Callithrix jacchus: one gene and its partner. The protein of the gene in region 1 interacts with the protein of each later gene in a pairwise test. Links are inferred from orthologs where the notes say so. Each region holds a gene or a part of one and is shown in the gene's direction. Other genes may lie near its edges.

Region 1 (4,522 bases):
ATCCCGCCTTGTTTCTCAACTCTGAAACTTGAGACAGATCCAGATTTTCCTTTCTCCCCCCCCCAACAACTATTCAATTAACAGCTATTTCTCTCTCATAGTTCAGCGTCCTCTTTGAACCCATAGGCCATTTCTTCGCTTGAAGTCTTTACCATCTGTTGTCTGGTATTTTTCCCAGAGGGTCGTAATTAGTGTCCCTGCCCTTGGGACCACTCCCACTCTCAATCCAGCCTCCAACACTAAGAAGTCAGTGCTCCTCCTAGCATCCAGGACGCCCAGGTCGAACCCGTTCTCATTTACCCCTTGGCTGACCTTCTAATTCTAGGCCTCACTTTTCCCTCTACACCCCTGCATACTCAGCCACTCACTGCTGTCGGGCTTGCCAGACTACTCTGCCTCTCCGGTATTTTCGCATAGGCTATTCACGCTTTGCGCACCAACCCTATCCTCGCTTATGGAGTCCACCTGGAAAACCTCCACACGTCTTCGACGGTGTGCAAATGGCACCTCCTCTGAGAATGCTTCCCTGATTTCCCAGCTGTGATTCCAACACCTTTGACCTCCCAGGTTCAAGCAATTCTCGTGCCTCAGCTACCCAAGTACCTGGGATTACAGGTGTGCACCACCACACCCAGCTAACTTTCGTATTTTTAGTAGAGAGGGGGTTTCACCATGTTGGCCAGGGTGGTCTCAAACTTCCGACCTCAAGTGACCCACCCACTTTGGTCTCACAAAGTGCTGGGATGACAGACATGAGCCACCGTGCCCAGCCTTCTGGCATTTATTATCTCTTTTTTTTTGAGACAGAGTTTCGCTCTTGTTACCCAGATTGGAGTGCAATGGCGCGATCTCGGCTCACCGCAACCTCCGCCTCCTGGGTTCAAGCAGTTCTCCTGTCTCAGCCTCCCGAGTAACTGGGACTACAGGCGCGCGCCACCATGCCCAGCTAATTTTTTTGTATTTTTAGTAGAGACGGGGTTTCACCATGTTGACCAGGATGGTCTCGATTTCTTGACCTCGTGATCCACTCGCCTTGGCCTCCCAAAGTGCTGGGATTATAGGCGTGAGCCACCGCGCCCGGCCATTATTTCTAAGCTGTATGATGCACATTTGCTGTCCCACGTCCACCTGGAGGTAGGGCTACTCACGGCATAGACTGCCCTCACAGACTGTACTCTCCTCGGAGGATCGGGCCCAGGTCTTCGCAGACCCCTGCAGGTGCCAAGCTCAGGGTCTGACCCGGGCGGGAAGTCAGCCCCGCGCCGCTGGAGGAAGGAGCCGAGTCACTGCTGCGACCACATTTGGCAGCAGAGGTCTCGGGGAGCAGCTCTAACCCCTGGGCTGCCAATCCGAGCGCCCACCACACGCCAAGGCGGGAACGCCTCCGAACGCCGGCCCTCGGCGCCCGGAACTGGGCCCGGAGCTCTCTCCCCGCGCCCGCGCAGCTCCAGGCGCACCCCTTGTGGCGTCGCCCCGCCCCGCCTAGCTCGGTACTGAGAGAGGGTCACGTGGGCCGCGCCTTGGCCAATGCGGCGGCTGCGCAGCGCCGGGCCCGCCCCTGTGCCGCGCGCACGTCGGGGGCGGGAACGGCGCGCGCAACCCCTCAGGCGGGTAACTGCGCAGCGCTCGGGACCCGGGGCGGTGGGAAGCTCGGGTTGCCGAGGGGTTCGCGCGGGAGTCGGTGCGGAGGAGCCATGGTCGGCCAACTGAGTGAGGGGGCCATTGCGGTGAGGAGGCGCCGGGGGATCCGGGTGGCTGCGGCCCGGGAGCCTGCAGGAGTGGGGAGGGGGAGGGGAGCCCGGGGCGAAGGGGGTGAACGCGAGGGAGAAGTGGGGGACGGTGGGGGAACGCGGGGCGCCCCTCCAGTCATCACTCCTCCTCAGAGCATTCTTCCGATCGTCTTTGAAACATGCTCACGTTTTTCGTACTTAAGAACTAACTACACACTTGCCTTCCATCTTCCACCTGCGGCCACTTTCTCTGTCTCTTCCTAACTACAGGCAAGCTCCTATTTGTCTGGTTTCAGCCACTTCTTTTCCTCGCCTCTCATGAACTCTTCAGCCCACTCCAGCCATCTCCTTGATCGCTGTCGGAAACTCTGGCTGAAGTTACCAGTGGCCTCCAATTTGCCAAATCCAGCACTTTTCCGTTTTCGGCTTACCTGAGTTCTCAGTAGCGTTTGCGTTTGAGCACCGCTTCCTTCTGATCACACTAAAACACTGAGTTTTAGTGGCTCGGTTTGGCGGGTCTTTCCCCGTCTTATTTGCAGGCCCCTCTTTGCAAATTTTTATTGACTCCAGGCTTACTATAGGCCCTCTTGACTCCCAAGGCGATTTCTTTTTCTTTTCTTTTTTTCTTTGAGACAGAGTCTCACTCCGTGCCCCAGGCTGGAGTGCAGTGGCGCGATCTGGTTTTACTGCAACGTCCGCCTCCCGGGTTCAATTGATCCTCCTGCCTCAGCCTTCCAAGTAGCTGGGACTACAGTTGTGCACCACCACACTTGACTAATTTCTGTGTTTTTATTAGAGATGGAGTTTCACCATGTTGGCCAGGCTGATCTCGAACTTCAAACTTCAAGTGAACTGCCCGCCTCAGCCTCCCAAAATGCTGGGATTGCAGGCGTGAGCCACTGTGGCTGACCCCAAAGCAGTTTCATTGCCATCTATTAATATATGTCATTGCTCACAAATTTTATACGGAGCCACCTTTACTCTAAAAGACGAACTTCTGTAATCTGTCTGCTGATTTCATGCTTCAGAGGCATTTGAGTTCAATATACACATCCCAAAGCAAATTCGTTATCTTGGTAAAGTCTGGGCCTCTTGATCCCTATCCCGGTGAATGACACCATTATCTGTTCAGTGCTAACCAGAAATTGAGAAATCATTCCTTCTATATTCTGCACCACCTGGCGTCCAGTCCAGGTGAAGTGTATTTTACCTCCACGTGGATCTCTCAAGACTGTCTGCTGCTCTCCAACCACACGGGCACCGTCATCTTCTGCCTGGACTGCTCACTTCCACTCTGCGTTCCTGCCACCATTCCCATCCCTAGCATATTCTCTCTTCCTGTTCTCTCTTCCTCTCCAGTCACCCCACTTTTTTTTTTTTAATTTAGATTTCTGGTATATTCCATACTCCTACCTTCTTCCATGGGGCCTTTGAACATTCTTTTCCCTCTGCCCACTGCCTGGGTGGTTCACTCCTCCCAACACTGGCAAATACAGTCTTCATATCTCAGCTCATTTGTGACTTCTCCTACTAGGCTAAATTGAGACACCAATTTCTTTTCATTCACATTTTTTTTTCTTTTTGCAATGGGGTTTCGCTCTGTTGCCAGGTTGGAGTGCAATGGCACGATCTCGGCTCACTGCAACCTCCGCCTCCCAGGTTCAATTGATTCTCCTGCCTCAGCCTCCTGAGTAGCTGGGACTACAGGCATGTGCCACCGTGCCTGGCTAATTTTTATATTTTTAGTAGAGACGGGGTTTCATCATGTTGGCCAGGCTGGTCTCGTCGAATTCTGACCTCAGATGATCTGCCTGCCTCAACCTCCCAAAGTACTGGGATTACAAGTGTGATTGCACCTATTTTAAGTGTACAGCCTGATGAACTTTGACAGATGTATGCACCCCTCTAACCACAATGCCCCAGAATACTTCATTAATGTGCAGTTCCTCCTCCTTCCCCACCTCTGTCTTCACCCTAGGCAACCAGTCTTCTGGTTTCTATCTCTATGGGTTAGTTTTGACTTTCTTAAAACTTTGTATAAATGGAATCAAATAATATCTACCCTTTTATATCTGGCTTCTTTCAGCAACTTTTTGTTTTTCAGAAGTAGGATCTCTGTTACCCAGGGAGGAGTGCAGTGACCCAGTCATGGCTCACCTGCAGCCCTGACCTCCTGAACTCAAGTCAAGGCATCCTCCCACCTCAGCCTCCTGAGTAGCTGGGACTACAGATGCGGGCCACCACTCTCAGCTAATTAAAAAAAAAAAATTTCTGTAGACATGGGATCTTGGTATGTTGTCCAGGATGATCAGGAACTCCTGGGCCCAAGTAATCCTCCCACCTTGACCTCCCAAAGTGTTAGAATTACAGGCACAGTCCACCACTCTGGACCAAAATGGTTTCTGAGATTTATCCATGTTAATTCAGTAATTTGCACCTTTTTTTTTTTTTTAAGGCAGAGTCTCATTCTGTCGCCAGGTGCCAGGCTGGAGTGCAGTGGCGCAATCTCGGCTCACTGCAATGTCCGCCTCGTGAGTTCATGCAATTCTCCTGCCTCAGCCTCCGAATAGCTGGGACTACAGGCTCGTGACACCACACCCAGCTAATTTTGGTATTTTTAGTAGAGACGGGGTTTCACCATGTTGGTCAGGATGGCCTCCATCTCTTGACCTCCTGATCCACCCACCTCAGTCTCCTAAAGCGCTGGGATTGCAGGTGTGAGCCACCTCGCCCGGCCCTAATTTGCACTTTTTTATTGCTCAGTAGTATTCCACTGTATGACTATAACACAA
Region 2 (3,608 bases), on another chromosome or scaffold:
TGATTTTTTTCTTTTAAAACTTGAAAGGTACGTATAACTCCATGTTCTTCTATGTTTTATATATATTCTTCACACATTTATGTAATTTTGAGAAAAGAGAAAATAATTTAACCAATAAAAGAAATGAGAGCATTAATAAACTCCTCAAAACTCTACTCATTTAGGCTGTTAACTAACTACAGAGGATTGTTAGGAGGTTACTTGCCAATGGTGGATTCCAATAACTGTGGTTTCTTTATTAACCATTATAAAAGACTTTAAATCAGTAACACCCAAAATAAAATGTTTTATAAAGAAAAACAAAATTGCGGTGAAATATCAAAAAATTCTTGGCTGGGTATGGTGGCTCAGGACTGTAATCCCTGAACTTTGGGAGGCTGAGGCAAGTGGATCACTTGAGTCCAGGAGTTCAAGACCAGCCTGGCCAACATGGTGAAACCTCATCTCTACCAAAAATACAAAGAAGTCTGCCAGACATGGCAGTGTGTGGCTGTGGTCCTAGGTATTCAGGAGGCTGAGGTGGGAGGATCACCTGAGCCTGGGAAGTGGAGGTTGCAGTGAGCCCAGATCTTGCCACTGCACTCCAACCTGAGAGACAGAGCAAGACCTTGTCTCAAAAAAAAATTTTTTTTCTGTTTATACAACTGCTAGAATCTTAAGTTCAGAATTTACTCTGTAAGAGCATATTAAAAACTTACTGTGATTTTGTCCATGTTTTACCTAATATATAATAGGCCTAAGTCTTGTACTTTTCCATCCTGTCCACAGAGCCTTGAAAATAATTTAGAACTCAGTCATTCAGTTTGGATTTATGTATAAATTGAAATATACTAATTACTTATTTATAGTGCACTTGGCAAAATAGCTGGAAAATTGCAATTTTAAAATAACGAAAAAATTTTTTAAAGCCAGTGTTAAGATGTGACTTATCTTAGAGTATGATAATCATTGAAAGACGATTGCCTAGTTTTTGTTTTTGTTTTTGTTTTTTTTTTTGAGACGGGGTTTCATTTGCCACCCAGGCTGGAGTGCAGTGCAGTGGCGCGATCTCGGCTTACTACCACCTCCACCTCCTGGGTTCAAGTGATGGTCCTACCTCAGCCTCCCTAGTAGCTGGGATTGCAAGTGTGCACCATCACGCCTGGCTAATTTTTGTATTTTTAGTAGAGATGGGGTTTCACCACGTTGACAGGCTGGTCTTCAACTCCTGATCTCAAATAATCCTCCTGCGACGACCTCCCCAACTGTTGGGATTACAGTCTTGAGCCACTGTGCCCAGCCAATGCTCCTAGTAATGGTTTGAACAGGGGAGGTGAGTTCTTAAAAACAGTAACCACAGTGGTTCATTTTTCCCCTTGCACATAACGTACAGCACTCTGCCATTGGGCCAAGCACTTTGTGCTCCTAAAATTTCTGTTGCATTGTTGTTTCAGTGAATAAATGCGTCTTTTAAAAGTGATTGCAGAAGTTGCAGCATTAAGAAATAAAGAGGGGAGACTAGTAAAAATGCATTTTGATAGAGATTGCAAGAAAGGCTGGCTTTGAAAGACACGTGGGACTTTTACTAGACAGGCGCTTTGACCAGCTAAGCAACAAGGGTCCCCTCGTGTGGGACTTTTAGAATGTAGCAATCACTGGCACACAGGGAAGGATTATCAGATCAGGTGAGAAGGTGGCAAGCCCGGATTGGCTGGAAGCAGATGCATTCTGGTAGCTGATTGGTCCCACAGGTAGCGTGAAGCTTGTCCGAGCATCAGGTTCCCAGCATTCAATCGGAGCCTTCTGTGGAGAGCTCGGAGTCTTCTGTGGAGAGCTCGGAGTCTTCTGTGGAGAGGTCCAAGCCTTCAGTGGAGCCCCGGACAAGCCAAAGCCCACCTTCTCCTTGGCCTGAGCCGTTTTGAAGATGAGTAAGAGTGGGTTTGGGAGCTATGGCAGTATTTCTGCTGCCAGTGGAGCGAGTGGAGGCAGTGACCAACCATCTGAGAGAGGTGCAGCTCCTGTTGTTAAGACCCAAAGACCGAGGGTCCGAATCCAGAACATCGTACCGTGTAATGTGTACCAGCTGCTGAGCTCTACTGTGTTGGATACTGTGTTCAAGGTTAGGGGAATTACAGTTTCCCAGGTCTCCGTCGTGGGGGTAATCAGAGAGGCAGAGAAGGCTTCAAATCACATTTGTTACAAAATTGATGATATGACTGCGAAGCCAATCGAGGCCCGACAGTGGTTTGGTAGAGAGAAAGTCAAGCAGCTGACTCCACTGTCAGTCGGACTATATGTGAAAGTGTTTGGTATCCTCAAATGTCCCGCGGGAACCAAGAGCCTTGAAGTATTGAAAATCTATGTCCTTGAGGACATGAATGAATTCACCGTGCATATTCTGGAAACGGTCAGTGCACACATGATGCTGTATAAAGCCCGTGGTGATACCACTCTAGAAAGTGTGCCTGTGTCTCCATCAGAAGTAGATGATGCTGGGGATAATGATGAGAGTCGCCGCAATTTCATCCGGGATGAAGTGCTGCGTTTGATTCACGAGTGCCCTCGTCAGGAAGGGAGGAGCATCCATGAGCTCCAGGCTCAGCTCTGCGACCTCAGCATCCAGGCCATCAAGGAAGTGATTGATTATCTGACCCTCGAGGGCCACATCTATCCCACTGTGGATCGGGAGCATTTTAAGTCTGCTGATTGAGACAGGGAAACCATCCTTTTATTTTCTGAAGACCCTTGCATCCAGCTGTGAGTAATTTTGACCTGTTGACTTTTTAGGAAGGACTAAAAAAAAAACAACAAAAAAAAAACTCAACTGGCATTCTTCAGCAACTCGCTGCTTTTCCAACTACTTTGAACTTTTCTTTTTTTCTAGCTATATTTGAAGCTCAAGATGGTAATGGATAAAATGACTGAACTCTTTGTAGGATTTACAAGCAAGCTAATGGAAACATGGTGATTTTGGGGGAAGAAAAACTACAGAAAATGTTAAAATTTATTATTTAATTGTGTTCGAACTTCTTTTTCCAAAATATCTATGTATTGGGAAAAACTAGTTGCACTCAGGGAGCCAGCTAAGAGAAAAAAAAAAAAAGCATTGCTTGTTTTTAATGTTAGACTTATTTTCCATGTTTAGATATAGCTTATTATAGTGATATTGTTATCTCTTGCTCAATATAGTATTTAGTATTTGATTAATTCAAATGAGCTGAAGATACTTATTTGTGAATTCTAATGCTCAGTTCATTTATTGTGTATTTGCTGTTATTACTATGAATTTATGTTTTCTTAAAATAAGATTATACTGTGTTTAAATAAATCATTTTTGCCAGGTTATCTTTGAATATAGTTTTTTAATGTGGGTAAGTTTAATGATTATTTCAAATATGATGTGGTATTTGATGAAATTACAGTTTCTGGTAGTTGTATGGTAAATAGATGCCAGAGTTTCTGTAAGATTTATGTGCTGGTATGTTCTGTATTTTACTAAATGCTCTGTTTTATGTATAACAGGGTACTTTTTAGGAGGTTAGGGAAACAAGTCATAGGAATATGAAACTTACTGAGTTTGACACAGACTTATTCAAATGTTGTATTAAAATAGTTTTACAAAATCTTAA

The links.
Region 2: the proteins of RPA1 (region 1) and RPA4 interact in binary tests that used the Homo sapiens proteins (3 or more experiments, as listed by UniProt). The link is inferred for Callithrix jacchus from reciprocal best matches to the Homo sapiens genes RPA1 and RPA4.

The regions. Positions count from the first base shown.
Region 1 is NC_133506.1:66,416,298-66,420,819, reverse strand, and holds the start of RPA1 (replication protein A 70 kDa DNA-binding subunit), read left to right. Parts: upstream 1-1,577; 5' UTR 1,578-1,694; coding exon 1,695-1,727; intron 1,728-4,522. UniProt on the Homo sapiens protein: As part of the heterotrimeric replication protein A complex (RPA/RP-A), binds and stabilizes single-stranded DNA intermediates that form during DNA replication or upon DNA stress.
Region 2 is NC_133524.1:93,083,846-93,087,453, forward strand, and holds RPA4 (replication protein A 30 kDa subunit), read left to right. Parts: upstream 1-1,497; 5' UTR 1,498-1,903; coding exon 1,904-2,689; 3' UTR 2,690-3,070; downstream 3,071-3,608.